4 linked regions of the Struthio camelus genome follow. The protein of the gene in region 3 purifies or fractionates together with the protein of the main gene of each other region. This does not show direct contact. Links are inferred from orthologs where the notes say so. Each region holds a gene or a part of one and is shown on either strand. Other genes may lie near its edges. The genes, in order: SNRPB2, ZC3H18, SF3A1 and XAB2.

Region 1 (7,594 bases), on a different chromosome or scaffold from region 3:
AGGACCTCTTCAGCTCTGTTGAGGGTATGGAAAAACACATTTATTATCATAGGTTATATGCAAATGCTCAGTTTTATGAAGTTTGTTGTTCTCTAGGGACAGTACTTTTTGCTACTTTTAGCTGAAGTAGTAATCTGTTACATTAGTTTAGCCAAAGTTGTTGCATGAGCCCAAGTTCATTTGCTCAGTTTTCATAATGCAAAACCAAGTGTTATATGCCAACTTACAAGTATTCAACTAGCAAAAAAGTCGTACCTCCATCCATTTTACCATTCTAAGGGAGTATAAATTATGCAAGGATTAATGTACACATGAAGTATTATGCATTACAGCCATCAAATACTGAGTAGTATACAATGCCATAACACATGGCAGTAAAGTAGTACGACGTAAAGAAAATACTGTAAATTAGTAATTAATCAAAATAAACATAAGGCAAGTTAAAGTTTGAAATCAGACTGTTGCAAACAAAATTTCATTCTTTCAAGCATATTGAAATATTTTTTTCATATTCTAGATTGGAATATGTTTTCACATAATCACACTATCCCTTACAGTTGCTACAGATTTATTTTCATGATAAAAAAAATCATCTGACTCCACATCAAGTTAAACCTTAATCTTATCCAGTTAACATAAATAAATCCCAAATCCTCTGTAGTGCATTCAAACTTAATATTTCTTATGTTATTCAATTCTTTTATTTGAAGTATTTCTGCTGACTTTTGTTTATTGCTGTTAAGACTCATTAGTACCAGCCCACTGTCACTTTTCCCAACTGTTCTTGATCAGCTACAGCTCTGTATAAGATCAGAATCAACAGGAAACCAATCAAGGGAACTTGTGAAGGAAGTTGCCTTACAAAGCAATGAATGCAGAAGAAGCTTCAGATGTGAATAAGGGAAAAATAAAAGTTTTCATATCAAACATTAAGAAAAATAACTTCAAAAGACGTACTAGAAATCTGGTTTGTAAGCCTGATATTATTGGCAACTTGCAATTCTACATTTTAAAAATAACCAGGCACTTATTAGTTCATAGTACATAACATGCTATAAGAGAACCACTAAGTTTAATTTACTGAGTGGAACAATCTTGACAAATCGATAGTGTACTGGCAAAGTTATTCCTACTTTCAGATCACTCTCTGAAATACCCAAAAGAAATGTTTAAGCAAGGCTAGTGTCTGATCCAGCAACCCACTGTTCACAAACAGTATTAAATTATCTTTATCCCTTTTAGATTAAGAATTATGCATAAACATTGAAAAGGAGAGCCAGATGGTCCCACACAGACATTGAGTACACAACCAGATAAGAACAAGTGATCTTATTAGCACATCGTGAGGAGCTAAAAACCCTCAACAAGAAATTATCACTCTCTAAAGAGGACCTCAGTAACCGCATACATACATCAAGTCTCCAGTACAATGAAGGGAAACAAGTTAGCTTATGCCACTTTCAGTGATTTTCTAAGGCATTAAATTGAAAAACAAGCATACAGATATTTCCACTTTCAGTGAATGGGACCACCTGAACATACACAAACATGCCTGTTAGGAGTAACCTATCAGAATATTAGATGACTACTATGATTACACTTATTTAAGGATAAACAAGCTTAATCTGTAAGATTAGCTGTACAACTACAGTATACAAGCAATCAGAAGCTTCCTTAAAAATAAATAAGAACTCCAGCTTGTGGAAAAACTTGCGCATGGTCCAAGGCTGGCTAACTTTACCTACTTCTTCATGAAAAAGATTTGACAGCTGAGAACTTGGTTCATGATCACCACTTGCAGTACATTACTAGACAGCTTAGAGGATCTTTGAGGGTGAGATGCTACCAAAACATAAGCTTTTGAGCTTAGGCTCCAGAGCAGTAAAAACTGCAGGCCAGTATAAGCTTGACCTTTTATATATGAGAATTTTATATGCGACGGCTTTCTACTAAACATAAGAGTCACAGACATTCATACCTTCTTTTTTAATCTTGTCATTTATATTGTTGATGTAAATCGTATGGTTTGGCCGGATATCCATCCTCCAACTCGCTTACACACCTGCCTGCAAACAGAGCACACGCATCGCAACGTTATAACGGATGAAGGCTCGCCCCGGCAAAGGAGGCGCCGCCAGCCCCGCGGACGCCCCACAACCCAGGAGCTGGTTAACTAGCGCGGAAAGCGCAGCGGCAGCGCGCCGGGCCCCACCGCCCGCCCCTCTCCCCGGCCGTTTAACAGCGCTCCCGCACCTACCGCAGCGCCGCGACGCCCCGGCCCGAGCACGTTACCCCCCCCGCCCCCCGCGCGCCAGCGGCCGCGGCCCCACGGCCGGGCCCCCCGGAGCGGCCCAGAACACGACGGGGACCCCAATGCCTCTCCCGGGAGCGGGGCCGGGACCCCGGGGCCAGGCAGGCCGCCGCCGCCGCCCTGGCTCACCTCTCCCCGCCGAGATGGAGGCCGCACCGCGCTGCGCCGGCCGCCTCTTCACGCAGCGCAAGCTGACGAGCCGATCCCGCCGCAATCGATGTGCCGAGCGCCGGCGGGTCGATGTCGCCCCGCCCGCGGCTGACGCGTGCGCAGTGGCAGGTTGGGCGGCGGTTGGGCGCGTTGCCGTCCTGTGTGGCTCCAAGTGCCGCCTCCTTGTTCGCGCCGCCTGCGCTCTGTGTGGAAACAGGCCCTCCTGGCACGAAGTACCTGGGAGTCTAGCTGAGAGAGGGTTTTTTTCCCCCTCTCAGCTCAGAGCTGAGCTCGTTGCTCGGAGCTGTGTTGACCCTGAAGCCGACCTGAGCAGCAGTGCTTTCCATCGCGCTCGAACAAGAGCCTGGCAGCACTGCAAAATTCAGTCGTCAGGCTCCTTGATGAGGACGTGGCCTGTAGGCAGTATTTAAGAAAGAAAGCACCCTACATCCCTGCAAAGCGAAGGGAGGAGAGTAATGCCTGTCGCTCCAGTGGTTCCCGGAGGAGAAAATAGTGTTTGTTTTTCTCATACTATGCTTATCTGGTTCCTCAAACGTTTCCATCGTTGTTGCTGTGCTAGTTTTCCAAAGGCAATGAGATAAAAGGGAAAATGCATCGTAAAACCGTTAGACAAATAGCTTGGTTTAAATAACAAAGATTAGCTGACTGCGTGTGAATCGTTTGTTCTGTGGCTGTTTCCACCTTCTCGGTAGAGATAATAAAAAATGTATGCACAGTGCAATTATTTTTTACATATCATTTAGCAATTATTAAACAAAAGCGTTATTGCCAGTTATCAAACTACATACAATAGAAATTGGTATAAAAGCCGTAATGCATTTTTTCTTGTGAGTCAATGACACCACATTATTAGTTTAGAACTCAAATTTCTTTCTGAAAACCGTCACTCGCAGTTAGTTCTTCGTGTCTTACTGCAGCCCCTCTGTCTTCCTCATTACAACACAATTAAAAGCTTGTGTGAAAATAATCCAAACTCTCTTCCCTGCTCTTTATGTGTGCTGCATCCAAGTCACAGTTAACCTTAGTAAGATAATTTGTATACCTCAGATGGAGAAGAGAGAATATTTTACAGATTTTTTTCTATCTTCTTTTCATATTTGGGGAGGTGGGATGGAAATCTCTAGAACCGGTTCCTATAGTGCAGGTGAAACAGCAGGATAAGGCAAACTGCAAGTCGGCAAAGCACACTCAGCAGCGGCCCTGCTTCCCCCCTCAGCGAGCCCCGAGAAGGTAGCTGGCGCGGGTGACGGCCTGGCTCTGGCTGCTGCGGTTGCGCCCGCACAGCCTGCCCTTGCACAGGGAGCCCCGGCTTGGCCTTGCCTGCAGAGCGACTGCGCAGAGCTGAGGAGCCACGCTGCTCCGGGGCATCCAGCCAGGCACGCACCTAAGAGAGAACCTGCCTGGTGTGAGGTCCACTGAAGCCCACAGAAACACCTCTGTGAACTCCATCTTCTTGCTTTGAATCAGTCCCAGGGTGAAAGAGGGAGTAGTAGGTTTGGCTTCACTGAAATCACAGCGACTCTTAAAACTGATTAAATTAGGGGTTTAGTACATGTATTTCACTATTTGTTTCCCCAATTCTTAGCTCTGATGCGTTCAAGTAGAGTACTGAGCAAACTTAACTATGATTTTTGCTTCTTTTGTCAACATATGAACTCATGGAGAGTAAAGAAAAGCAGAAATTTGAAAACACCTGCAGACAAATATTCATTAACTGACATTTGTTTTCAGTTTGGAGATTGAAAAGGCAATGTATCTAATTTCTTGAAGATACTTTTACAATCCCTGCAGTAACAGTACCTCAGGATAAATAAACAGAGCAGAGATTCTGAGGTTGCAACCTTTGAATTTTTGGAATAATTTTGCAGGCAGAATGCCTTTACTTTTATGAATGATCTTACAGACTTTTTCAGAAGCAATTTTATGTTGTGAAGATTTAACCTGGTCGCATGTGAAAAAGAAGCTCTTGGGGGAAAATATAATCCTTAAGATGGTTCTTGTTTAAACTGATTTGGACAGGTCCACAGTGAAACTTATCCCTTTGTAGTGAGACAGGAATATTAGGAAGGGTTGTCAGTTCAGTCACATTTTAAGAAAAAAAAATGACTTCCACGTTCTGGAGTTTTCCCCAGTAAAAGGAAAATATGTTATCACAGAATCACACAGAATCACAGAATGGTGGAGGTTGGAAGGGACCTCTGGAGATCATCTAGTCCAACCCCCCTGCTCAAGCAAGGTCCTCTAGAGCATATTTCTCAGGATCGTGTCCAGGCGGGTTTTGAATATCTCCAAGGATGGAGACTCCACTACCTCTCTGGGCAACCTGTTCCAATGCTCTGTCACCCTCACAGTCAAGAAGTTTCTCCTCAGGTTCAGATGGAACTTCCTGTGGTTGTTTCTGCCCATTGCCTCTTGTCCTGTTGCTGAGCACCACGGAGAAGAGGCTGGCCTCATCCTTTTGACGCTCCCCCTTCAGAAACTTGTACACATTGATCAGATCACCTCTCAGTCTTCTCTTCTCCAGGCTAAACAGGCCCAGCTCTCTCAGCCTTTCTTCACAGGAGAGATGCTGCAGTCCCCTCATCATCTTGGTAGCCCTCCGCTGGACTCTCTCCAGGAGTGCCATGTCTCTCTTGTACTGGGGAGCCCAGAACTGGACACAGTACTCCAGGTGAGGCCTCCCCAGGGCTGAGCAGAGGGGCAGGATCCCCTCCCTCGACCTGCTGGCAACACTCTTCTTAATGCACCCCAGGATCCCATTGGCCTTCTTGGCCACAAGGCCACACTGCTGGCTCATGCTTAACTTGTTGTTCACCAGCACTCCCAGGTCCTTCTCCAGAGCGCTGCTTTCCAGCAGGTCAACCCCCCAGCCTGTACTGGTGCATGGGGTTCTTCCTGCCTAGGGGCAGGACCTTGCACTTGCCTTTGTTGAACTTCAGGAGGTTCCTCTCCGCCCACCTCTCCAGCCTGTCCAGGTCCCTCTGAATGGCAGCACAGCCTTCTGGTGTGTCAGTGACTCCTCCCAGTTTAGTATCTTCAGCAAACTTGCTGAGGGTGCACTCTGTGCCTTCATCCAGGTCATGGATGAATACATTGAACAAGACTGGACCCAGTATAAGCCCCTGGGGAACACCACTAGCTATAGGCCTCCAACTTGACTCTGCGCCACTGACCACAACCCTCTGAGCTCTGCCATCCAGCCAGTTCTCAATTCACCTCACCATCCACTCATCTAGCCTGTGCTTCCTGAGCTTACCTCATAGCTTACATCTATGAAGATGTGATGGGAGACAGTGTCAAAAGCCTTGCTGAAGTCCAGGTAGACAACATCCACTGCTATCCTCTCATCTACCCGGCCAGTCATCCCATCACAGAAGCAAGATTTCCCTTGGGTGAAGCCATGCTGACTATTCCTGATCACCTTCTTGTCCACGTGCTTAGAGATGGCCTCCAGGATGAGCTGTTCCATCACCTTTCCAGGGACGGAGGTGAGGCTGACAGGCCTGTAGTTCCCTGGGTCCTGTTTCTTGCCCTTTTGGAAGACTGGAGTGACGCTGGCTTTCCTCCAGTCCTCCGGCACCTCTCCTGATTGCCAGGACCTTTCAAAGAGGATGGAGAGTGGCCTAGCAATGATGTCCCTCAGCGCTCGTGGGTGCATCCCATCAGGGCCCATGGATTTATGGATGTCAGGTTTGCCTACGTGATCTCTAACCTGATCCTCCTCGACCAAGGGAGAGTCTTCCTTTCTCCAGACTCTCTCCCTGGTCTCCAAGGTCTGGGATTCCTGAGGGCTGGCCTTAGCAGTGAAGGCTGAAGCAAAGAAGGGTGTTCAGCAACTCTGCCTTCTCTGTATTCTTCGTCATCAGGGCACCCACCACATTCAGTAGTGGGCCCACGTTTCCCATGGTCTTCCTTTTGCTACTGATGGATTTGAAGAAGCCCTTCTTGTTGTCCTTGACATCCCTTGGTAGATTTGATTCCAAATGGGCCTTAGCCTTCCTTGACGCATCCCTGCATACTCTGACATTGTCCCTGTAATCCTCCCGAGTAGCCTGTCTCCTTTTCCACATTCTGTAGACTTCCTTCTTCTGTCTGAGTTTTGTCAGGAGTTCCTTGCTCATCCATGCAGGTCTTCTGCCCACTTTGCTGGATTCCTTACTCAGAGGGATGCACTGATCTTGAGCCTGGAGGAGGTGATACTTGAATATTAACCAGCTTTCCTGGACCCCTCTTCCTCCTAGGGCCCTATCCCATGAGATTCCCCTAAGTAGGTCCCTGGAGAGGCCAAAGTTAGCTCTCCTGAAGTCCAGGGTTGCAGTCCTACTTATTGCCCTGCTTCCTCCTCGTAGGATCCTGAACTCCACCATCTCATGGTCACTGCAGCCAAGGCTGCCCCCAACCTTCACATCTCCAACTAGACCTTCTTTGTTTGTTAGTACAAGGTCTAGCGTTGCACCTGTCCTTGTTGGCGTCTCCACTACCTGGGTCAAGAAATTATCATTGATCCTCTGCAGGAACCTCTTTGACTGTTTGTGCCGAGCTGTGCTGTCTTCCCAACAGATGTTGGGGTGGTTGAAGTCTCCCATGAGAACCAGGGCCTGTGATCGTGAGGCTACTTCCAGTTGTCTGTAGAAGGCCTCATTAACTTCCTCTTCCTGTTCAAGTAGCCTGTAGTAAACCCCCACCAGCGTGTCACCCATGTTAGCCTGCCCTTTAATCCTTACCCATAAGCTCTCAGCCTGTTCTTTATCTACCCCTAGGCAGAGCTCCATACATTCTGGTTGCTCCCTCACATAAAGAGCAACTCCACCACCTCGCCTTCCTGGCCTGTCCTTCCTAAAAAGCACATAGCTGTCCATGACAGCATTCCAGTCATGTGAGCTATCCCACCGTGTCTCTGTAACTGCAACGAGATCATGGCCCTGCGACCACACACACAACTCTAATTCTTCCTGCTTATTCCCCATGCTGCGTGCATTGGTGAACAGGAAACTTGTATTTAGGAAACTTATAAAGAACAGCGTGGATTAAAGTGAGTTGAATGTAAAAGCAAAAAATAAGTTCTTGGTTGAGATGTTATTTACTGGTGGAAGAGAATAGTGTGATTTTCAA
Region 2 (7,078 bases), on a different chromosome or scaffold from region 3:
GGAACTACTACTGAAAAGACTAGCTTGCTAACCTCAAGCAGGCAGCTTACTCTAACGCATCACACCATCTATAGAGTAAAGCTGTCAGTTAAGATAGGATTTGAAGTACACAGCCACTAAGAAAAATATTCTTGGCAAGCATTATTTCCACTCACAAAATTCCTCCCTCCAAGGTTCAGCCTCTATGGTGCCGAAAAAAGCTTCTTCCAAACGAACAAAGGATGCACCTTGGATGTAGCAGCGTGGAAACTAACGTCGCGGACAAGCCCAGCACCTCAGGAAAGCACCGAGTACTCGACATAAAGCTGGAGCTTGACAGAGCTGTCAGCTCCAACCTTGAAATCCTACAAATTGCCAGTCAGATGGCAAGAAAAAAGTCCATAGCTGAGTGCCATACCCCCCCCGCCCCACCAAGCAGAGAACTCAAAGCTCCATGGGGGCTGTGGGACAGACACCTCCAGATAGATGCCAGGAAAGAAGCAAGAAAATAGCAGCACCTTCTGAAGCTGCTGGTAAGGTAGAAGGGAGGCCTCTCTCTCTCAATAGTCTTTGGGGCAGCAGAAAGTGTTTTTTCCTCATTTCTAGTAGCCAAACATGGTTCAATGCAAGATCAAAACATTTACAGTTAATGAGATGCATAAATGGCAGGGGCTTATGCAGAAGAGAAGGAAGTTCTAGAGCATGGCCTAAGTCAAGCCACAAAGATGGATGAAGAATGATGGGCGGGTTTGAGGGGAAAGAATGAGAAATAGGGCTGACAGGACAAGCTAAAAAAGAAACAGAGCACAAAAACATTTGTGGGACAGAAGTGGAAAACAGAAGCAAACCAGAAATGAATGGAGGGAATCACAATGGGGAAAACGTGGAAGAGCAGCAACAACAGGAAGAGAAGGAAATAAGATGCATCACAATCTAGAAAAGGAACATCATGTAAAGCCGAAAGGATGCGTAGAACAAAAGCAGAGCACCCAGGTCTTTGTTCTGAATGAAACTCTGATTGTTAACAGGATTAATTAAAATAGAATACATACCTATCTGACATCCTTAGAGGAGCACCGACTTTGAAGATGCATAACAAACTTCAATTTTCTAGCAGCTGTCAGAAAACCTTTTAATGCAGAAAACTAAGCTGCCTCTCAGTACTAATTTGAGAGAACTACTTGGTGACAGCCATTTTCAGCTTTTTTTTTTTTTTTTTTTTTTAAGAAGAGCTTACAGAGGTCTGATCCAGAATTTTAACACCAAACACCATACTAGTGCTAGTCAACTGCTTTGTGTCAGGCAGGCTTTAAGACTGATACCTGAACATGAACAAAAATGAAGCTGTAAATAGCTGAAGTTTGTTTTCACAGTGTAATGGATTCTCCTGTTACTAGGACATGCATCACTCTTTCTGCAGCTCCACACTGAACATTAACTTTGAATTACAGGAGCCTCATTCCCATGAGAAAAAATAAGTGCAATTGTTCCTGCATTCTGTAGGATTCATAAATAATCACGCTCTGGAGTCTCATTCCACTCAGAACATTGGATGAGATGGCTTGCAAGGAATTGACTTGATTAGGAAGAGACCTTGACCTTTTTCCTTAACCTAGACAAACCTTAAGAAGATCAGGAGAAAGAATCACACCTTGCAGATGCTGCTCTTGCTACGGCCAAAACAGCGCTGTTAATGGCCGTGTCAGAAAAGCTGAATTACTGATGGCAATAAAATAAAAAATTGTTAGTGCACATCCCAAAAAGAACAGCTCTGAAGAAGAGAGAGCTCTGTTGAAGAAACTCATAGAATTTAAACCACCCGCAGCAGCCACATTTTGGAACACTTACAAAAGTGACCAGAGCTCTGAGCAGAGAGAGCCTTACAGCTGCTGTTTCGCTGCACAGGCGAGACCAACAGGCATTGCACGGGTGCGCAGCACACAGACCACCCTGTCGACCCAGAGGACTGGGCAGCGCGACTTCCCCATCCCGTGGCAGTCAGCGAGGACGCTCCTGACCCATCAGAGAAAGCACCCGAATGCGTGGCCGCTGCAGCGCCCCAGTCCTTCTCCACCCCCTTGCCCCCAGCTCCCCTGGGGCCTCCCTTACCTCACAGGGCCTCCTGCCAGGCTGAGGTCTTTCTGGAGCTCTCCCTGCTCCCACCTGCCTGCGAAGGGAGACAGTCAGCCCTTCCTGTACCTGGTGGCCAGGCTGCACACTCCCCCCCCCGCCAAACTAGGACTCTTCCCCCTCAACACCCCCCCCACCCAAATCCTCCCGCAAACTACAGGCTGTGCCCCCCAGCCTTCCCATCTGGGGGGTGCCCCCCATCCTAGCAGTCCCCCCCCAACTAGGGCTGTCCCCCATCACCCCACCTCCAGCCATTGCTGCCCCTCCCTCTCAGCACCCCCCACCAGGGCTGCCCCCCAACCCTTCCTCACCACCACACAGCTGAGCTGACCCCCCCCCCAACATCACCCCCACTTAGGCTAGATCCTTCCCAGGGCCCCCCACCTGGGCTGCCCCCCCCTTCCCTAAGCTCCCCCCATCCCAGGGCCCCCTCCCACTGGGCTGCCCCCCCCAACACCACCCCCACCTGGGCTGACCCCCCATCCCAGGACCCCCTCCCACTGGGCTGACCCCTCCCCCCAAACACCATCCCCATCGGGGCTGACCCCCCATCCCAGGACCCCCTCCCCAAATACACGGCCCCCCCCCCTTCCCAGCGCCCCCCGCCCGGGGCCGCCCCTCCCCCGCTTCCCCGGCGCCCGGGCCCGCCCCCCCTCGCGGGCGCTAGGCCGCGGCCGGCGCCCGCGGAGCGCGGCCAGGCGGGCAGCGGCTCACCTGGGCGGGCGGAGCGGGGCGGGCCGGAGCCGGAGCCGAGGCCGGAGCCGGGAGCCGGGGCGAGAAGGACGGCGGCGGGCGGCGGCGGGGAAGCGGCTCCGGCGCGGGGCGCGGGACGGGCCGGGGCCTCTACTCGCGGCGGCGCAGGGCGGCCATGGCGTGACGTCATCCGGGCGCGACGGCCTTCGCGCCGGGGAGGGGGGGGGCGGGCGCGCTCGTCCTGCTCGCGCGCACGCGCGCACGCGCACGCGCGCCGCCACCGCCCCGCCCGCGCCTTAAAGGGGACGCGCGCTTCGGCGGCCCCGCGTGGGTGGGGCGCTGGCGGCGGGGTGGTGGTCGGGGGGGGGGGGACACGCGCGTGTGCGGGCAGGTGCACGTGCAGGCGCGCGCGCCCGGGGTAGTGGGGGGCTCGCCTGCACGCACACGCGTGGAGGAGTCCACATGCACGCGTGCGCACGTGGCGGGTGCAGACGGGTGCAGGTGGGGAGGGGGGGGTGCACGAACACCCAGGCGGGGGGGTTCCCGCAGGCAGGCGGGGGGGGTGGGAGGCATGCAAGCGGAGCGAGCACCTGCATGCACACGCCGGGAGGGGCGCACGCGTGCGCGAAGGCGGGGGCTCGACACGCGTGTCCGCGGGCGCGCAGCCGTGCAGGTGCGCTCGCCGAGCTAGGCGCGCCTGTGAACGTGCAGTCAGACCCCTGCGTGCACGCAGACGTGTGCGCGCGCACGCTAAGGCAGACCTAAACGCGTGCACGCCCGGAGCTGGGCGTATAGGTGTTCTTGGGAGCATACATGCAGGTGGTGGTGCGCACCTGGACCTACAGGTGCACACGTGCACGTGGAGGACGTATGGACGTGCACGCAGAAGCATGCCGGCACACGTGCAGGCGACGGCTCCCGGCAGCGGCGCAGCCCGCCTGGCCCTGGGAGCACCTCCCCGTGGCGCTGCGGCCGGGCCCGGCCCCCCGAGGACGGAGCGGGCAGTCCCCCCAGCCGGGCAGCGGCCAGGCCCTCTGCACCGAGCCCTCCGCAGGGGCTGCTGCCCGCGCCGGGGCCGGCAACGCCCCGGAGGGCGGCAGCCCGCAGGGAACCTGCCCAGCGCGCCGGCGGCAGAGCGCCAGGACGCAGCACCGTGCCGGGCTTGCTGGGAGCAGCTCGGCGCCTCGGGGGTGCTCCAGAGCAGCAGGGACGGCGGTTCGGGGCTGGGGGCCGGGCACGCGCTCCTGGGGCCAGCGTCTCCACCGGGCCACGGACTGTGGCCGGGCCGCTCGCCTTCGCCTCCGGCCGCCTCAGGCTCGGGCTGCGCTTTTGCAACCCCGCCGCGCCGAGCCCGTCGGCCCTTCCCAAGGGAGCCAGCTGTCTGCTGCCCGCTCTCCTGGCTCGCAGACCCGGCGTGGCCTCGGACGGCGCAGGGCAGCCGTCCCGGATGCTCTTGCCTCATGCAAGCAGGGGCTGAGCCAGGGCCGTGGGGCCCGCGGCAGCCCAACCGCACTAGCAGCCAGCGGAGAATCCCCTGGGGCGAGCGTGCTGGGAAGCCAGGCTCCGTGGAGCCGGCAGCGCAGGGTGCTCGCTCAGCGTGGGCTGCTGGGGTGCTTGCTGGGGCAGCCCAGAGGATGCTCCCTCTCCCTGGGGCGCTTCCAGGGTGCTTGCTCGGGGTGGGCTGGAGGGTGCTCACTTGGGCACTGGGAGGGTGCTCAGACAGGGCGGGCTGGAGGATGCTCGCCTGGGGCGGGCTGGGAGGGAGGATGCTCGCCTGGGGCGGGCTGGAGGATGCTCGCCTGGGGCGGGCTGGGAGGGAGGATGCCCACCTGGGGCGGGCTGGAGGGCGCTCGCTCGGGGTGGGCTGGGAGGGAGGATGCTCGCCTGGGGCGGGCTGGAGGGCGCTCGCCTGGGGCGGGCTGGAGGGCGCTCGCTCGGGGCGGGCTGGGAGGGAGGATGCCCGCCTGGGGCGGGCTGGAGGGCGCTCGCTCGGGGCGGGCTGGGAGGGAGGATGCCCGCCTGGGGCGGGCTGGAGGGCGCTCGCCTGGGGCAGGCTGGAGGGCGCTCGCTCGGGGCGGGCTGGGAGGGAGGATGCCCGCCTGGGGCAGGCTGGAGGGCGCTCGCCTGGGGCAGGCTGGAGGGCGCTCGCTTGGGGCGGGCTGGGAGGGAGGATGCCCGCCTGGGGCGGGCTGGAGGGCGCTCGCCTGGGGCGGGCTGGGAGGGAGGATGCTCGCCTGGGGCGGGCTGGAGGGCGCTCGCCTGGGGCGGGCTGGGAGGGAGGATGCCCGCCTGGGGCGGGCTGGAGGGCGCTCGCTCGGGGCGGGCTGGGAGGGAGGATGCTCGCCTGGGGCGGGCTGGAGGGCGCTCGCCTGGGGCGGGCTGGGAGGGAGGATGCTCGCCTGGGGCGGGCTGGAGGGCGCTCGCCTGGGGCGGGCTGGGAGGGAGGATGCTCGCCTGGGGCGGGCTGGGAGGGAGGATGCTCGCCTGGGGCGGGCTGGAGGGCGCTCGCCTGGGGCGGGCTGGGAGGGAGGATGCCCGCCTGGGGCGGGCTGGAGGGCGCTCGCTCGGGGCGGGCTGGGAGGGAGGATGCTCGCCTGGGGCGGGCTGGAGGGCGCTCGCTCGGGGCGGGCTGGGAGGGAGGATGCTCGCCTGGGGCGGGCTGGAGGGCGCTCGCTCGGGGCGGGCTGGGAGGGAGGATGCCCGCCTGGGGCGGGCTGGGAGGGAGGATGCCCGCCTGGGGCGGGCTGGGAGGGAGGATGCCCGCCTGGGGCGGGCTGGGAGGGAGGATGCCCGCCTGGGGCGGGCTGGAGGGCGCTCGCCTGGGGCGGGCTGGAGGGCGCTCGCTCGGGGTGGGCTGGGAGGGAGGATGCCCGCCTGGGGCGGGCTGGAGGGCGCTCGCCTGGGGCGGGCTGGGAGGATGCTTGCTCAGGGGACCAGGAGGATGCTCACCCAGGGCAGCCCAGGAGGGTGCTCACTCGTTGCCCCATGCAGTGGGGCGGGAGTGTCAGGCTGGCTCTGCCCCCTGTGCTGGCCCTGCCCCCCTGTTCTGGCTCCGCCCCCTGTGCCAGCTGGGGATTGGCTCAGGCAGCAGGGGCGGGGCCTGAGGGGGGTGGAGCCAGTGGGTGGCAGGTATATAGGGCAAGTGGGGTGGGTGGGAACAGCTAGTGCAGGGGGTGTGGTGTCTGCTGGAGGTGAGTGGGGATGGGGATGGGGATGGGGATGGGGATGGGGATGGGGATGGGGATGGGGATGGGGATGGGGATGGGGATGGGGATGGGGATGCTCAGGAGCAATGAGGCTGCTGGAGGGGAGCCTGGAGCTGCGAGGGTGGGACTGGGATTGGAGGTGCTGTGGACACCTCTGACCCTGTTGCTCCCCTGAAGGGGCCCAGGCAAAGGTGCTGCCCCGTGTCTGCGTCTCACCTTTGCTCCAGCGCTGACTCAGGGGCCCGCGTGCCGCTTTGCGCAAGAGCCTGGCGGGCAGAGGCTGCCACGGCTGCCGCCTCCAGCCTGGCCCCGGCCAAAGGGCAGGCGCAGCCCCTGCGTAAAGGCAGCCGTGCTGGGGTGCTGGTTCACCACCCTGCTGGAGCTGCGTGTGGGCAGGTGCTGGGGGTTCAGGGCTGGTGGGAGGGGGCCTCCCTGAAGGTGGTGAGGGGCTGGAGGATGCTGCTGCCCAGGGCTGAATCCTTGCCTCCTGGCAGGCTCGACCGTGCTCCTTGCTGAGATGGATTATGCCAAGTCCCTGAGTTCGCGCCTAACTGACCCCATCTCCAAGTAAGTGCCAGCCCTGGGGGGGGACACTGGAGCCCTTTCTGCTTTAGCACCTCTTGGCCCCTGGATTGGATGCCCTGGTCTCCAGGGAGGGCTTGGGGGGATGGCACTGCCTGGGGTTGGTGGTCTCCAGAGCCCTTCTGATCCCTCCGTCCCACCCCAGATGCGTCTCCGCAAGTGCCTCCATGACCCAGCAGCTGCTGTGGAGCCCGGCGCCGCGGCCCCGGCCCTACCGCGTCTGCAACTGGGACCGCAGCTTGCGCAAGGGCATCATGGCACGGAGCCTCGCTGAGCTGCTGCTCCAGGTGAGCTGGGGGCCCTCCGCCCATCTGGCGGGGCTCTCCGTCTGGCCTGGCTCCCCCTTCCCATCACCATCACCCCTTGCAGGTTCAGAGCACCCTGCTCGCGCCGGAGCCTGTCTCGCTGGTCCTGGATGAGGATGGCACGGCCGTGGAGACGGAGGCTTTCTTCCGGACGCTGGAGGAGGGCACGGTGCTCATGGCCCT
Region 3 (7,999 bases):
TACCAACACTAAGCACGAGCAATTCCAGGAAAGCCAGGAGTTACATATGTGTAAAACAAGTGTGAGATCAGAGCAAGATCTCTGGATGAGATCTGCCAGCTGGATGAAGCCTCAGGGATCCTTACCCAGCTCCTGCAGAGTAGCTTGCTTAGCAGCCAGCTCTTCCTTTAAGGTAGAGATTCGCTCTTCCAGCAGAGCAGCTCCTAAACCAATGAGAAAACTCAGCTAAACTTTTCACAGCTCTTCAATGAAACTAAAACAAGCAGGTAGCAAATGACTACGCCAAAGCATTCCTCATCCAGTAACAGTATCATGCTGTGCTTCAGCAGAGAGAAGTCAATGAAAGGACACGGACAACCCATTCCACTGTCTGAGGACAGTGTCTCACAGCAGGGACCAGGCCCGAGATGCTATATAGTGACAGGGCATGGAGAGTTTGCAGAGAGGTGGAAATGAGAGAGTGAGGAGTGGGGACGGAGGGCTTCAGCAAAGGAAGGTGGGAGATGATCAGGACATCAGGAAAAGCAGTGGTTCCAGTGCACCAACCCTTATCTGCTTCAGGGAGGAGCTCCTAAGAGTTGCTGTCAAGGGATAGATGAAGAGGAAACTTCCAAGCTAAAGGAAAGTCCACAGTAAGGCTTCTCTCTGGGTCTCTCAGCCACAGGACCATGGAGAAAACACCTGAAAGCTGAGGAGTGATGAACAGGCATTTGCTGATGACACTTGGGCCTATCAAAATCCATGGCAAAAGCTCTGCTCATTGCAGGGGGACCAAGACTTGATCATGGGCTCTGTGGCTCTCCTGCAAATCCCCACAATCCCAGGAGGGGATGCTGGAAACAACACTGTACCTCTCCGTAGGTCCTCCTTATCCTGCTCCAGTTTGACTACAGTCTCCAAATACTCTTTCTTCTTTACTTCCAGGGTCTGCTCAGCCTCCTTCCTCTGCTGTTCTTGGGTTTTCTTCTCTTCCTGAAGCAATTTGGCAAATTCCTCAACCTGCTTCTGCAGCTCATCCTTCTGTTTCTCTGATTCTTCCAGCTTTGACTTCAGAGGGTTTATCAGCTGCAGCAGCATGTGGAGATGTTTGCTGATCCGGGAGAGGTCCTTGCTTTGTTCTGAGGCCCAGTAACTCATGTCCATTGCAGAGAGGGTCCTTCTACCCATGGTCTCCTCCAATGTCTCGTGGAATCTGCTCAGAGCCGAGGGGATGTTCTGACTCTGGCAGATGCCGGTGATGGCTTTGCTGACCTCCCGGAGGCTGGCTTGTGCACTAGCACATGAGTCACAGGGTACCAGAGATGACTCAGTTGTCTGTGTGGGGATGCTGCGGCTGCATGTAGACCTGGGAAGCGAGTTGCCAGAGGTGTCACAGTCTGGCACGCTGACACTCTGCAGCAGGCACAAAGAGGTTGACTGGGCAATATCTATGGATGAGGTTAACTCCGAAACAGCAGGTGAACAGCTCTTCAAATGCTCCTTCTCAGTTTTCACACCCTCAGGGGTAGATTTCAGTGTGGAGATGTCTTTTGTGCAAGTCATCTTCTGGGGGAGAGAGCACAGAAGAAAAACATAGGGCCCAGATTGAACAGTGCAACCAAGACAGCTGCAAATGATCCAGATCAGCCTGAATGCAAAGGTGTTAAATGTGGGAATGGGACATCAGTGAGAGCGCAGCCAAATGGCTACGAGGGCAGTGAGGCCTTCTCTTGGAAGGAGAGAAGTTCCAGGAGCTTGGGGGAAGAACAACGTTACCAAGCAGTTGGGGGTTCCTATTTATTGTGCTCCATATCTTAAATATCTTACATATCCATATATTACAACCAAGACAAATGGCTAATGAACAAAAGATCAATTTGTTCACGCAGATCCTGGGTACTCCCTGAGGGAGGAAGCCAGGGAACTGAATTTTAAAAGCTGCTGGGTAGCTTTTCAGCCACTGATACCTTAGCCAGGTGGAGGCTGTGGTTTCACAGTGGAAGGCGTCTGCCATGAAATTTGCTTCCCAGCTCCTGCGCTGGTTACTGTCCCTTCCTTCACGCCTCCGTGCACTGTCTCAAGGTTAAGCCAGAAGACCTGTTATGAGACCATGCCACCTGCCAGGGCAGGGCTCCCTCCTGCTCTGTCACCCCTGCACCACCACACATCAGGTGGCATCCCAGAGGACTGTGACCTTAGCACGATGCTGCATGCAGGCCTGAGGCAGCTTCTGAACCAGGGGGGATTGAGGCAAGGGGTATTTCTGTGAGCCTTGCTCTCGGCTCATGGCAATTGAGGGCCCCCATATGTCCCACCTCAGTCAGGAGCTGCTTGTAGAGGGCTCCCAGTTTCAGCATGCTGTTCCAGTACTTCCGCACCGTCAGCCCCGCCGACATGCAGGGCCCCACTGCCTGCGCTGGGGGGATGGCTTTGTCGCTGAGCAGGTTTTCTGCATAGCCTGTGAAGCTCTGAAGCAGCAGGAGCAGCCTTCTTCGACAGAAACGAAACACAGCTTAGCGCAACAGAGTATTTGGAACAGGGAGAGGGCCCTTGGCATTTAACAGTGCAGGGCCAGGGCTGAGGCAGAGGTTCTCCTCCCTCCCCATTCCCTGCACAGTCTGAGTTGGTCCAAGGAGGCTGGATATCAGCCCCCACGCAGCTCCCCTCCTCTGTCCTGAATCGCTCAATGGAGCAACGTTTGGTGGGATTAAAATCCTCAGGCAGCCGCAAAGATGCAGACCGTGCACTCTGCTTGCAGGGGGTTACTCAAGGGGGACGTACTCTTGGTGCAGTCAGCCAATTCCAGGAGATTTGGGGCACTAAGGCTGCCAACATCAAGGCCAAATATCCAGAAGCAGCTCTGCATGAGCAGCTTGTCTTTAAAATTGAGTATTATTTTACTTAACCCAGGTCGCAAAGGGCACTTTTGCCTCCCAGGCTCTCCCAGGTAGAGCTGCGATTGGGTTCGAGCGTTCCCAGGGTTTTGGGGGGCTATTTAATGAGAGGGGCACCAAGCCAGGGACCACACAACAACCATTGCTTAATAACTTTCTAAAAGGTTAAAGGCCTTTGAGAGTCCCAACTGATCCACAGACCCCAATGTTGATCATAATGATGGCATCAGGGCCCAGAGTGCCTTCCCGGTAGCTCTGATCCCACCCGGGCAAGGGAAAGGACTTGGGTTTTAACACTCAGCGCAGGTGGGCTGGGCTCTGGAGCACAAATCCCACCCTTCCAACTGCAGGTGTGCCAGCACCTGTCTCCAAGCAGAAATGCAGCTACGTGGACACGTTTGACAGGTTGGATGCAGAAATGTTGCCTTCCTTCCAAAGGGAAGGAGCCACTGGACCAACCAGCCTTCTTTTAAAAGGAGTAGGGGATGGTTTGGGCTCGTTTTCTCTTCTCACCTGTCGATTACCAGCTCCAGCAGCACCACGTGGGAATGCTGGGTGAACTCGAGGTCGTTCTCCACGTAGTCGTAGTGCTCCAGCAGCTCCACCAGGTCCAGCTCGCAGGATACTTTATCGGGGAACTTCCAGGAAGGGTAGCGAACAGCCCCAGCCCGGGAGAAGACGTCGGCGATGGCTCCTTGCAGGTCCGTGATGTCAGCCCTCAGGCTGTCCATGCAGGTGGGGCTGCCCAGGAGGTGCGCCATGCCGGGGTGGCAGGATGAGGCTCCGCAGCTCCAGCCTGACTCAGCCCACGGGCCGCCCCGCCGCTGTGCTGCGTCCGATGAGCTCCTGGTCCGATGGGGAAAGGCTGCGGAGGCCGGCCGGCTGCCGGGCTGCAGGCGGGAGCTCTGCGGGACCGAGGCTGAGCTGAGGCCAGCCCAGGGTAGGGACACACATGTGGCACCAGGTCAGATCCTACGTGCCAGGTCAGACCCTAGGCGGCAGGATGGACCTGTGCACTGGAATGGACCCCATGCACCAGGATGGACCCCACGCGCCGCGATGGAGCCTGTGCGCTGGGACAGACCCCACACACTGGGACAGACCCTGCACGCCAGGATGGACCCCCTGCACTGGGATGGACCCTGTGCGCCAGGATGGAACCTGTGCGCCGGGATGGACCCCACACACTGGGATGGACCTCATGCACCAGGACGGACCCTGTGCGCCAGGATGGACCCCATGCACCGGGATGGACCTCATGCATTGGGATGGACCTCACGCAGCGGGATGGAGCCCGTGCACCAGGACGGACCCTGTGCGTCAGGACGGACCCCACGCACTGGGATGGACCTCATGCACCAGGATGGACCCTGTACGCCAGGACGGACCCCACGCACCAGGACGGACCCCACGCACCGGGACGGACCCCACACACTGGGATGGACCTCATGTACCAGGACGGACCCTGTGTGCCAGGACGGACCCCACGCACCGGGATGGACCCCACGCACCGGGACTGATCATACGTGCCAGGATGGAGCCTATGGGCCGGGACGGACCGTGTGTGCCAGAACGGACTCCGCGCGCTGTGCGCCGCCGGGCCGTGGGGGTCTGTGCCGGCAGGGCCACGCGGTGGGGCCTTGGCGGCGCGCCGGGGGGAGCCAGCGGCGGGTCCCGGGGAGGACGGCAGTCTGCGGGAGGGCCCCGGGGGCGCGGGGGTCCCCGGGGGGATGTGCCGAGGCGGCGCGGAGGTGCCCGTGGGGGGGACACGCACCCACCTGCCGCCGCGCCGCGCCGCTCCGACCCCGACCCCAGTCCCGGCCCCGGCCCCGCGGCGCGACCCGCTGCCACGGCAACCGCGCCAGGCCACGCCCCGCGGTGAGCCCGCTGCCACGGCAACCGCGCCAGGCCACGCCCCGCGGTGAGCCCGCTGCCACGGCAACCGTGCCAGGCCACGCCCCGCGGCGCGCCCGCCGCCACGGCAACCGCGCCAGGCCACGCCCCCGAGGCACGGCCCACTGCCCCCGGCCCCCGCAATGGAACGCTCCTCCCCCTCTTGTGGCCCGTTAATGGCACTGTCCCCGGCGCATGCGCCCTGCTCCTTCGTCGGCCCCCGCCCCCGGGCGACCCGTACTCCTCGAGCCGCGCGTGCGCCCGCGCTTCGCCTTCGCGCGCAGCGTGCGTCACACCCGGCGCGCGTGCGCAGCTCGGAGGGGCCGGCCGCCATTTCGGCCGTGGTGGTGAGGGTGCTGCGGGGTTCCGGGCAGCGGCGGACGAGGAGCGGCTCCGGCGGGGAAGCGGCCCCCGTCGCCCCGAGGGATCACCATGCCGGCCGGGCCCGTGCAAGCGATGCCTCCGGCGCAGCCAGCGCCGCCCGCGGAGGGCAAGCCGGTACGGGCCGCGCGGGAGCGGGGCGGCCCGGCCCGCTGCGCCCGGAGGGGCCGCAGGCCGCGCCCGGAGCCCCTGGAGTCCGTCGGCAGCTGAGGCGGAGGGGCGCTCCGGCTCTCCTGGCGTTGAGCTGGGGGTGCGGGGGCTCGCTCTGCTTTTTATGGGTGTATATTTTGGATGCAGAGGCAGCGTTTTGTTCAGTGCTTCCTGTTGCGTTTTAGCGATCCGGGCTCGTTGGGTTTATTTTGGCCGGTGGCTTCTGGGTTTAACCCATTTCTCTTGGTTTTGGGGCGGCTACATTTCCATCCTGTTATTTTTTGCTGCGCCCATAGGACTCACCCGCGGTTCCCTATACGTCTGCGCTAGCTGGGTGGGGCAAATAGTTCACTTCCGGGTAAGTACGGATCCTTTCGTGGAAGCTGCAGAGGATTGTGATTGTGATGGAGGTGAATGTTTGCTGTTAACTGTGGAAGCAGCCCTGCCCTTGGGAGGGATGTGCAAAAGCTTGGAAAAGACTCAAGAAACCTGTCCTAGAGGGACTTAGGGGACTCAGTCTCTCATGTTCTTCTAGGGCCTTCACATATTCTTGCTTGTTCTGTCTCGGTCATGTTCACCTCCTCAGGAGCCTTTTTTGGCCTTCTGTAAAAGCCAAAATCATATGTTGGTGACATATGGTTCTAGCGTAGCTTTAGCTGCCATCCTGGTTGTGCGTTCTTGGTGTTCCCCACGCTAGCGTTAGCATTAGTGCAGCCATGCAGTAAGATAGGGTAAGGAGCTGATCTAACTGAAAATCTGTCTCCTGCTCCTGGTAAGGTTAATTTGAACGAGTATGTTGAACTGGCCTGTTTTATGGCCGTTAAAGCTGTAGGGTTAGTGCACAGGGTAGAAGTGCAGCAGCCTGGACTGATGTTGGCTAAGGCTACAATGCAGCTGCTCCTGGAATATCGCTGCTTAGGTGATTTGGTGTAGCAAGTGCAGTTAGGAGGAAAGCTGTAGCTCCCGATAAATACCCTGTCACTTTCATAGATGTAAATTAACAAGGTGACTCAGCATGGTATTCAAATAAAAATGTCCCTCAAGCGTGGTATTGCCTTCTCCTTCTGGTCCTCTGATGTTCTGGTTCTCAGGGAATGGGAGTGAAAAGTAGAAAGGTTTATGATGCCTTTTTCCTTACAGAATACTTTGTTAAAGTTGTATTTTGCACGAATCCGTCTTCTGACTTGGAATCACCAACTTCTGACACAGAATCAGCAAAACTAGTAGCAGCATAGCGGTGTTTTAAAACTCCCCTGACCCTCACTTTTAAGATTACAAACACTTCTCATGTATCTCCTGTCTTTTATAATGGTGTTTTTTGTGAAAATTACTTGCTAAGACAAGAGGGGAGATATCTTTCCTATCCTGCAAAGAACAGCTTCTTATCTTACTGAAAGATAAAACTATTCTTGGGAAGAGTTCTGTGATTTTTAGTTTAGAGCCTACTGTAATATCTGTGAGGAAAATACCTTGCTGAGTTTAGCCTCTATGAAAAGAAGCTTCTGATGCAACCTCAATATGATTAAGATCTATGGGATTTTTTTTTAATCTAGATGTAATCATTCAGGTTCTAGCTTTTTGTAGTTCCACAAGCTGCTGGGAGTGTTCATAACTTCCAAACCTATTTAGCAATGCTAAATTATTCCCGCATGTGTTCTTACAGGCGGTCTCTTCCACTGCCTCTTGCCACAGTGTTTATAACCTACTCAGGGTCAAGGCTGAAATACTAAAAATGCTGGAAAGACTTATTTATGGTTCCCATGGAGCGGCCTTCCTTTTTATTGCCTTGCTATGTCAGCCTCTGCAGTAAATGCCCTTGACAAGCAGACAAATATTATCTTCTCACCCTGGGAAGCCAGGAATGGGCTGTTGATTGAGATTGTTAAACCAGTTAGAGCAGAAAGGATAAGACTTTTGCATCAGAATAGTAAAATGATTTGGGGGCTGGGGTACAGAATAGACAGTTCTGTCAAGCGTTTGGGTTGCTGGTTAGAATACTTGGTTCTGATACAGCGTTCATTAAGCCTTTTGTAAAGGTATGCTAGGATTGTTATTTCCAATACAGATAAGGAAGCAGAGAGAGAAGGGAAATTCATTTTTCGAGCTAACCGATTCAGGATAAACCCAGTCTCAGTTTGCAGCCTGTCAGAACGTGCTTTCACACCCTGATGCTGGTGGATAGCCTGTTGTTCAAATATTATTTGAATTTCTTTATCTTATCAGCTTTGATTTAGGTTATTACAGCTTAGTATCTTGACATACTGATTGCAAACTCTGCAATGAAAGATCTCTTCCTGTACTATCCTATAACCATCTTATGAATGATGAAGTGGCTGACAGGACTGTTTTAGTTACAAGGCAGCAGTACAGAGGACTGTAGGAAATTATATATATCTATCTATATCTTTCTTGCAGCCAGAAGAGGAGCCAAAAGAGGAAGCAGCACCAGCCAAGCCTGTGGTAGGAATTATTTACCCTCCTCCAGAGGTCAGGAATATTGTTGACAAGACTGCCAGCTTCGTAGCCAGGTAAATGATGCTAGTGTTGTGTCCCGTGTTTTCAGGGTTTTCCATGCCTCTCTACCTCCAGTGCTCCTGTCTCTGTGGATCTAGAAACTGGAGCAGTCGCTATCCTATGACTTGACATGAAGGGAAAGAGAATTGCAGGTAAAAAGGGAGCTTACTTACCAGTGCTCCATTTTA
Region 4 (7,295 bases), on a different chromosome or scaffold from region 3:
GGACGCAGACGTGAGATGGGACAGGGACGTGGGGACGCAGACGTGAGGTGGGACGGGGCCACAGGGACGCAGACGTGAGGTGGGACGGGGACACGGGGACGCAGATGTGAGGTGGGACGGGGGCACGGGGACGCAGACGTGAGGTGGGACGGGGCCACAGGGACGCAGACGTGAGGTGGGACGGGGCCACAGGGACGCAGACGTGAGGTGGGACGGGGCCACAGGGACGCAGACGTGAGGTGGGACGGGGGCACGGGGACGCAGACGTGAGACGGGACGGGGACACGGGGACATGGGGACGCAGACGTGAGATGGGACGGGGACACGGGGACGCAGACGTGAGGTGGGACGGGGACACGGGGACACGGGGACGCAGACGTGAGATGGGACAGGGACGTGGGGACGGGGACGCAGACGTGAGGTGGACGGGGGCACAGGGACACGGGGACGCGGACGCGAGATGGGACGGGGGCACGGGGACACGGGGACGCAGACATGAGATGGGACAGGGACACGGGGACACGGGGACGCAGACGTGAGATGGGACAGGGACGTGGGGACGGGGACGCAGACGTGAGGTGGACGGGGGCACAGGGACACGGGGACGCGGACGCGAGATGGGACGGGGGCACGGGGACACGGGGACGCAGACATGAGATGGGACAGGGACACGGGGACACGGGGACGCAGACGTGAGATGGGACAGGGACGTGGGGACGGGGACGCAGACGTGAGGTGGACGGGGGCACAGGGACACGGGGACGCGGACGCGAGATGGGACGGGGGCACGGGGACACGGGGACGCAGACATGAGATGGGACGGGGACACGGGGACACGGGGACGCAGACGTGAGGTGGACGGGGGCACGGGGACACGGGGACGCGGACGCGAGATGGGACGGGGGCACGGGGACACGGGGACGCAGACATGAGATGGGACAGGGACACGGGGACACGGGGACGCAGACGTGAGATGGGACAGGGACGTGGGGACGGGGACGCAGACGTGAGATGGGACGGGGGCACGGGGACACGGGGACGCAGACGCGAGACGGGACGGGGACACGGGGACACGGGGACGCAGACGTGAGGTGGGACGGGGGCACGGGGACACGGGGACGCGGACGCGAGATGGGACGGGGGCACGGGGACACGGGGACGCAGACGTGAGGTGGGACAGGGGCACGGGGACACAGGGACGCAGACGCGAGACGGGACGGGGACACGGGGACACGGGGACGCAGACGCGAGGTGGGACGGGGGCACGGGGACGTGGGGACGCGGACGTGAGATGGGACAGGGACACGGGGACGCAGACGCGAGACGGGACGGGGACACGGGGACACGGGGACGCAGACGTGAGGTGGACGGGGGCACGGGGACACGGGGACGCAGACGTGAGATGGGACGGGGACGTGGGGATGCACACGTGAGGTGGGACGGGGCCACAGGGACGCAGACGTGAGGTGGGACGGGGACACGGGGACGCAGATGTGACACAGGGACGGGGACGACGGGGACGACGGGGACGCGGGGACGAGACAGGGCTGGGCCACGGGGACAGAGGGGAGGGGGCTGGGGACAGGCGGAGAGGAACGCGAGGGGCAACGGGGACGCAGCAAGGGACGTGACAGGGGACGGGGGGAGGACAGGCAGGCGAGGGGACGGGGACAGCAGGGGACGCGGGGGGGCGGGGGTGCAGAGGGGGCGTGGGAGGGGGACGCGGGCACAGCAACGCGAGGGGGACGAGGGCGGCGACGGGAGGGAGCGCGGGGCGAGGGGGGGGACGTGGGGACACCGGGGGGGACGGGGAAGGGACAAAGAGAAGGGACACGGGGACACTGAGGGCACAGGGGGAGGCGGGGCGGGGGGGGACACGGGGGGGACGTGGGGGGGGGGGCGCGGGGACACCGGGGGGGACATGGGGATGCAGGAAGGGGGACAAGGGGACACAGAGAGGGGACGCGAGGACACCAAGGGGGACACGGGGATGTGGGGAGGGGGACACGGGGGGCGTGGGGACACCGAGGGGGACGGGGGGACGCGGGGGGGCGCGGGGACACCGAGGGGGACGGGGGGACGTCCCAAAACCGGGGAGCCCCCTCTGGCGCCCCTCCCCCACCCGGGGTGCCCCTCCCCCACAGGCTCCCAAAACGGGGGGTGGGAGACCCCCGCCCCTCCCCCACCCGGGCGCCCCTCCCCCACAGGCTCCCAAAACGGGGGGAGGAGGGAGACCCCCGCCCCTCCCCCACCCTGGCGCCCCTCCCCCCACCGGCTCCCAAAATGGGGGGTGGGAGACCCCCCGCCCCTCCCCCCACAGGCTCCCAAAACGGGGGAGGGGTGTGGGAGACCCCCACCCCTCCCCCCACAGGCTCCCAAAACAGGGGGGGAGGAGGGAGACCCCCCGCCCCTCCCCCACCCTGGCGCCCCTCCCCCCACCGGCTCCCAAAATGGGGGGTGGGAGACCCCCGCCCCTCCCCCACAGGCTCCCAAAACGGGGGGGAGGGAGACCCCGCCCCTCCCCCACCCGGGCGCCCCTCCCCCCACAGGCTCCCAAAATGGGGGGTGGGAGACCCCCGCCCCTCCCCCCACAGGCTCCCAAAAAGGGGGGGGAGGGAGACCCCCGCCCCTCCCCCCACAGGCTCCCAAAATGGGGGGTGGGAGACCCCCGCCCCTCCCCCCACAGGCTCCCAAAAAGGGGGGGGAGGGAGACCCCCGCCCCTCCCCCCACCAGCTCCCAAAACAGGGGGGTGGGAGACCCCCCGCCCCTCCCCCCACAGGCTCCCAAAACGGGGGGTGGGAGACCCCCGCCCCTCCCCCACCCGGGGCGCCCCTCCCCCACCGGCTCCCAAAAAGGGGGAGGGGGGTGGGAGACCCCCCCGCCGCCCCCCCGGGGTCTCCCGCCCCCACTCACGAAGCGCAGCTCCGCCCGCCCCGCGCCCGCCGCCACCGGCGGCGCCTCCGGCTCCGGCATCGCCGCCGCCGCCGCCGCCCCGTCCCTCCCGCGCCCGCTTCCGGCGCGCCGCGATGACGTCACGCCGCGCCGCGCGCTCATTGGCTGCCGCCGCCGCCGCCGCTTCTTCCCCTCGCCCCGCCCTTCCCCACCCCTTCCGCCCCCTCCGCCAATGGGCGGCGCCGCTGCTCGGAGCTCGACCAATGGGCGGCGGGCTTGTTGCGGCGGGCGGGGGCCGGAAGCGGGGAGCGGAGCCGCCATGGGGGTGAAGCTGGAGGTGTTTCGGGTGGGTGAGGGCGGAGGGGGCGGGGGGGGGCGACAGGGCCGGGGGGGTGACGGGGGGTGACAGGGTCGTGGGGGGGCAGTGGGGGGTGACAGGGGGGTGACAGGGCTGGGGGGGTGACAGGAGGGTGACAGGGCTGGGGGGGTGACGGGGGGGCGACAGGGCCGGGGGGGTGACGGGGGGTGACAGGGTCGTGGGGGGGCAGTGGGGGGTGACAGGGGGGTGACAGGGCTGGGGGGGTGACGGGGGGGCGACAGGGCTGGGGGGGTAACGGGGGTTGACGGGGGGTGACAGGGTCGTGGGGGGGCAGTGGGGGGTGACAGGAGGGTGACAGGGCCGAGGGGGGGTGACAGGGCCGGAGCGGCAGTGGGGGGGTGACGGGGGGGTGACAGGGTCGTGGGGGGGGCAGTGGGGGGTGACGGGGGGGTGACAGGGCTGAGGGGGGTGACAGGGCAGTGGGAGGGTGACGGGGGGGTGACAGGGTCGTGGGGGGGGCAGTGGGGGGTGACAGGGGGGTGACAGGGTCGTGGGGGGGGCAGTGGGGGGTGACAGGGCCGAGGGGGGTGACAGGGGGGGTGACAGGACTGGGGGGAGGCAGTGGGAGGTGACAGGACTGGGGGGGCAATGGGGGGTAACGGGAGGTGACAGGGCTGAGGGGGGTGACGGGGGGGTGGCAGGGCCGGGGGGGTGACGGGGGGGTGACAGGGCCGAGGGGGGTGACAGGGCCGGGGGGGCAGTGGGGGGTGACAGGGGGGTGACAGGGCTGGGGGGGTGACGGGGGGGTGACAGGGCTGGGGGGGTGACGGGGGTTGACGGGGGGGTGACAGGGTCGTGGGGGGGGCAGTGGGGGGTGACAGGGGGTGACAGGGCCGAGGGGGGTGACAGGGCCGGGGGGGGCAGTGGGGGGTGACAGGGGGGTGACAGGGCTGAGGGGGTGACAGGGGTTGACGGGGGGGGTGACAGGGTCGTGGGGGGGCAGTGGGGGGTGACACGGGGTGACAGGGCTGAGGGGGGTGACAGGGCTGGGGGGGTAACGGGAGGTGACAGGGCTGAGGGGGGTGACGGGGGGTGACAGGGCCGGGGGGGACGATGGGGGGGCGACGGGGGGGTGACAGGGCCAGAGGGGGACGATGGGGGGGGTGACAGGGACGGGAGGGGGGCGGATAAGGCCGAGGGGGGCAGTGGGGGGGTGTCCCCTGCCCTGGCGGGTGACACTGGGGACATCCTGGGTGACACTGGGGAGACTGTTGTGCCCTGGCAGCGGTGACAGCGACACCGGGGGGGGGAAGGGGCTGCCCCACCCCGGCAGGGTGACACCAGGGGACATCTGACACTGGGGAGAGGGGGACTGTCCTGCCCGGGCTGGTGACGCTGGGGACCCCGGGACACGTCCTGCCCAGGCAGGGTGACACCAGGGGACATCTGGCACTGGGGGGGGGGGACCATCCTGCTCCTGTGGGTGACAGTGGGGACGCCTCATGAGGGCAGGGTGACACTGGGGACGTCCTGCCTGGGCAGGGTGACACTGGGGACATCCCACAAGCTCAGAGTGGCGCTGGGGACGTCCTCCCTAGACAGGGTGACACTGGGGACATCCCGCAAGCTCAGGGTGACACTGGGGACATCCTGCCCAGGTGGGGTGACACTGGGGACGCCGCGCGAGCTCAGGGTGATGTTGGGGACGTCCCGCCCAGGCAGGGTGACACCGGGGACACCCTACAAGCTCAGGGTGACACTGGGGACGCTGCGCGAGCTCAGGGTGACGCTGGGGACGTCCCACCCAGGCAGGGTGACACTGGAGACACCCTACAAGCTCAGGGTGACACTGGGGACGCCGTGCGAGCTCAGGGTGACGCTGGGGACGTCCCGCCCGGGCAGGGGGACACCGGGGACGCCCCGCAAGCTCAGGGTGACACTGGGGACATCCTGCCCAGGTGGGGTGACACTGGGGATGCCCCACGAGCTCAGGGTGACGCTGGGGACGTCCCGCCCGGGCAGGGTGACACTGGGGACACCCTACAAGCTCAGGGTGACACTGGGGACGTCCCGCGAGGGCAGGGTGACACCGGGGACACTCTACAAGCTCAGGGTGACGCTGGGGACATCCTGCCCAGGTGGGGTGACACTGGGGACGCCGCACGAGCTCAGGGTGACGCTGGGGACGTCCCGCCCGGGCAGGGTGACACCGGGGACGCCGCGCGAGCTCAGGGTGACGCTGGGGACGTCCCGCCCGGGCAGGGTGACACCGGGGACGCTGCGCGAGCTCAGGGTGACGCTGGGGACGTCCCGCCCGGGCAGGGTGACACCGGGGACACCCTACGAGCTCAGGGTGACGCTGGGGACGTCCCGCCCGGGCAGGGGGACGCTGGGGACGCCCCCGCGAGGGCAGGGGGTGCCCGGGCGCTGTCCCCGGCCCTGCGGTGACGTCCCCTCGTCCCCAGATGCTGCTCTACCTGTCCTTCCCCGTCAGCATGTTCTGGGTGTCCAACCAGGCGGCCTACTTCGAGGAGCACGTGGTGCGCAGGAAGGTGGGTGCCCGGACGCCTGGGCCCCCGCCGCCGGCGACGGTCCCCGGGGTGCCCGGACGCCTGGGCCCCTGCTGCGGGGGAGGGTCCCCGGGGTGCCCGGACGCCTGGGCCCCTGCCGCAGGGGAGGGTCCCCAGATGCCTGGGTCCCTGCTGCGAGGGAGGGTCCCCGGGGTGCCCGGACGCCTGGGCCCCTGCTGCGGAGGTGGGTCCCCGGACGCCTGGGCCCCTGCCGTGGGGGAGGGTCCCCGGGGTGCCCGGATGCCTGGGCCCCTGCCGCCGGGGAAGGTCCCCGGACGCCTGGGTCCCCACTGCGAGGGAGGGTCCCCGGGGTGCCCGGACGCCTGGGCCCCTGCCGCAGGGGAAGGTCCCCGAACACCTGGGCCCCTGCTGCGGGGGAGGGTCCCCGGGGTGCCCGGACGCCTGGGCCCCTGCTGCGGGGGAGGGTCCCCGGATGCCTGGGTCCCCACTGCGAGGGAGGGTCCCTGGGGTGCCCGGACGCCTGGGTCCCTGCTGCGAGGGAGGGTCCCCGGGGTGCCCGGACGCCTGGGCCCCTGCCGCCGGGGAAGGTCCCCGGATGCCTGGGCCCCCGCTGCGAGGGAGGGTCCCCGGGGTGCCCGGACGCCTGGGCCCCTGCTGCGGGGGAGGGTCCCCGGATGCCTGGGTCCCTGCTGCAAGGGAGGGTCCGCAGGGTGCCCGGACGCCTGGGTCCCTGCCGCCAGGGAAGGTCCCTGGACACCTGGGCCCCTGCTGCGGGGGAGGGTCCCCGGGGTGCCCGGACGCCTGGGCCCCTGCTGCGGGGGAGGGTCCCCGGATGCCTGGGTCCCTGCTGCAAGGGAGGGTCCGCAGGGTGCCCGGACGCCTGGGTCCCTGCCGCCAGGGAAGGTCCCTGGACACCTGGGCCCCTGCTGCGGGGGAGGGTCCCCGGGGTGCCCGGACGCCTGGGCCCCCGCTGCGGGGGAGGTCCCCGGATGCCTGGGTCCCCACTGCGAGGGAGGGTCCCTGGGGTGCCCGGACGCCTGGGTCCCTGCTGCGAGGGAGGGTCCCCGGGGTGCCCGGATGCCTGGGCCCCTGCCGCCGGCGACGGTCCCCGGGGTGCCCGGACGCCTGGGCCCCTGCCGCCGGGGAAGGTCCCCAGACGCCTGGGTCCCCACTGCGAGGGAGGGTCCCTGGGGTGCCCAGACGCCTGGGTCCCTGCTGCGGGGGAGGGTCCCCGGACACCTGGGCCCCTGCTGCGGGGGAGGGTCCCCGGGGTGCCCGGACGCCTGGGTCCCTGCCGCCAGGGAAGGTCCCCGAACACCTGGGCCCCTGCTGCGGGGGAGGGTCCCCGGGGTGCCCGGACGCCTGGGCCCCTGCCGCCGGGGAAGGTCCCCGAACACCTGGGCCCCTGCTGCGGGGGAGGGTCCCCGGGGTGCCCGGACGCCTGGGCCCCTGCCGCCGGGGAAGGTCCCCGGACGCCTGGGTCCCCACTGCGAGGGAGGGTCCCCGGGGTGCCCGGACGCCTGGGCCCCTGCCGCCAGGGAGGGTCCCCGGA

The links.
Region 1: the proteins of SF3A1 (region 3) and SNRPB2 purify together in Homo sapiens (affinity purification with mass spectrometry; 5 studies listed by BioGRID and IntAct, with this or other methods). This does not show direct contact. The link is inferred for Struthio camelus from reciprocal best matches to the Homo sapiens genes SF3A1 and SNRPB2.
Region 2: the proteins of SF3A1 (region 3) and ZC3H18 purify together in Homo sapiens (affinity purification with mass spectrometry; 3 studies listed by BioGRID and IntAct, with this or other methods). This does not show direct contact. The link is inferred for Struthio camelus from reciprocal best matches to the Homo sapiens genes SF3A1 and ZC3H18.
Region 4: the proteins of SF3A1 (region 3) and XAB2 fractionate together in Homo sapiens (co-fractionation; 3 studies listed by BioGRID and IntAct, with this or other methods). This does not show direct contact. The link is inferred for Struthio camelus from reciprocal best matches to the Homo sapiens genes SF3A1 and XAB2.

What each region holds. Positions count from the first base shown.
Region 1 is NC_090944.1:134,156,876-134,164,469, forward strand, and holds the start of SNRPB2 (U2 small nuclear ribonucleoprotein B''), read right to left. Parts: upstream 3,005-7,594; 5' UTR 2,441-3,004; intron 2,067-2,440; 5' UTR 2,043-2,066; coding exon 1,979-2,042; intron 16-1,978; coding exon 1-15. UniProt on the Homo sapiens protein: Involved in pre-mRNA splicing as component of the spliceosome. Associated with sn-RNP U2, where it contributes to the binding of stem loop IV of U2 snRNA.
Region 2 is NC_090951.1:2,518,331-2,525,408, forward strand, and holds the start of ZC3H18 (zinc finger CCCH domain-containing protein 18), read right to left. Parts: upstream 3,013-7,078; 5' UTR 2,824-3,012; intron 2,147-2,823; 5' UTR 2,089-2,146; intron 2,036-2,088; exon of another isoform or gene 156-2,035; intron 1-155. Other genes in the region: lipid transferase CIDEC, read left to right, coding at 5,720-5,993, 6,503-6,575, 6,736-6,877, 6,960-7,078.
Region 3 is NC_090958.1:4,786,990-4,794,988, forward strand, and holds the start of SF3A1 (splicing factor 3A subunit 1), read left to right. Parts: upstream 1-4,998; 5' UTR 4,999-5,198; coding exon 5,199-5,264; intron 5,265-7,712; coding exon 7,713-7,825; intron 7,826-7,999. Other genes in the region: CCDC157 (coiled-coil domain-containing protein 157), read right to left, coding at 126-203, 852-1,545, 2,295-2,469, 3,387-3,634. UniProt on the Homo sapiens protein: Component of the 17S U2 SnRNP complex of the spliceosome, a large ribonucleoprotein complex that removes introns from transcribed pre-mRNAs.
Region 4 is NC_090972.1:3,512,501-3,519,795, reverse strand, and holds the start of XAB2 (pre-mRNA-splicing factor SYF1), read right to left. Parts: upstream 3,009-7,295; 5' UTR 2,975-3,008; coding exon 2,915-2,974; intron 1-2,914. Other genes in the region: protein PET100 homolog, mitochondrial, read left to right, coding at 3,213-3,239, 5,678-5,764. UniProt on the Homo sapiens protein: Involved in pre-mRNA splicing as component of the spliceosome. Involved in transcription-coupled repair (TCR), transcription and pre-mRNA splicing.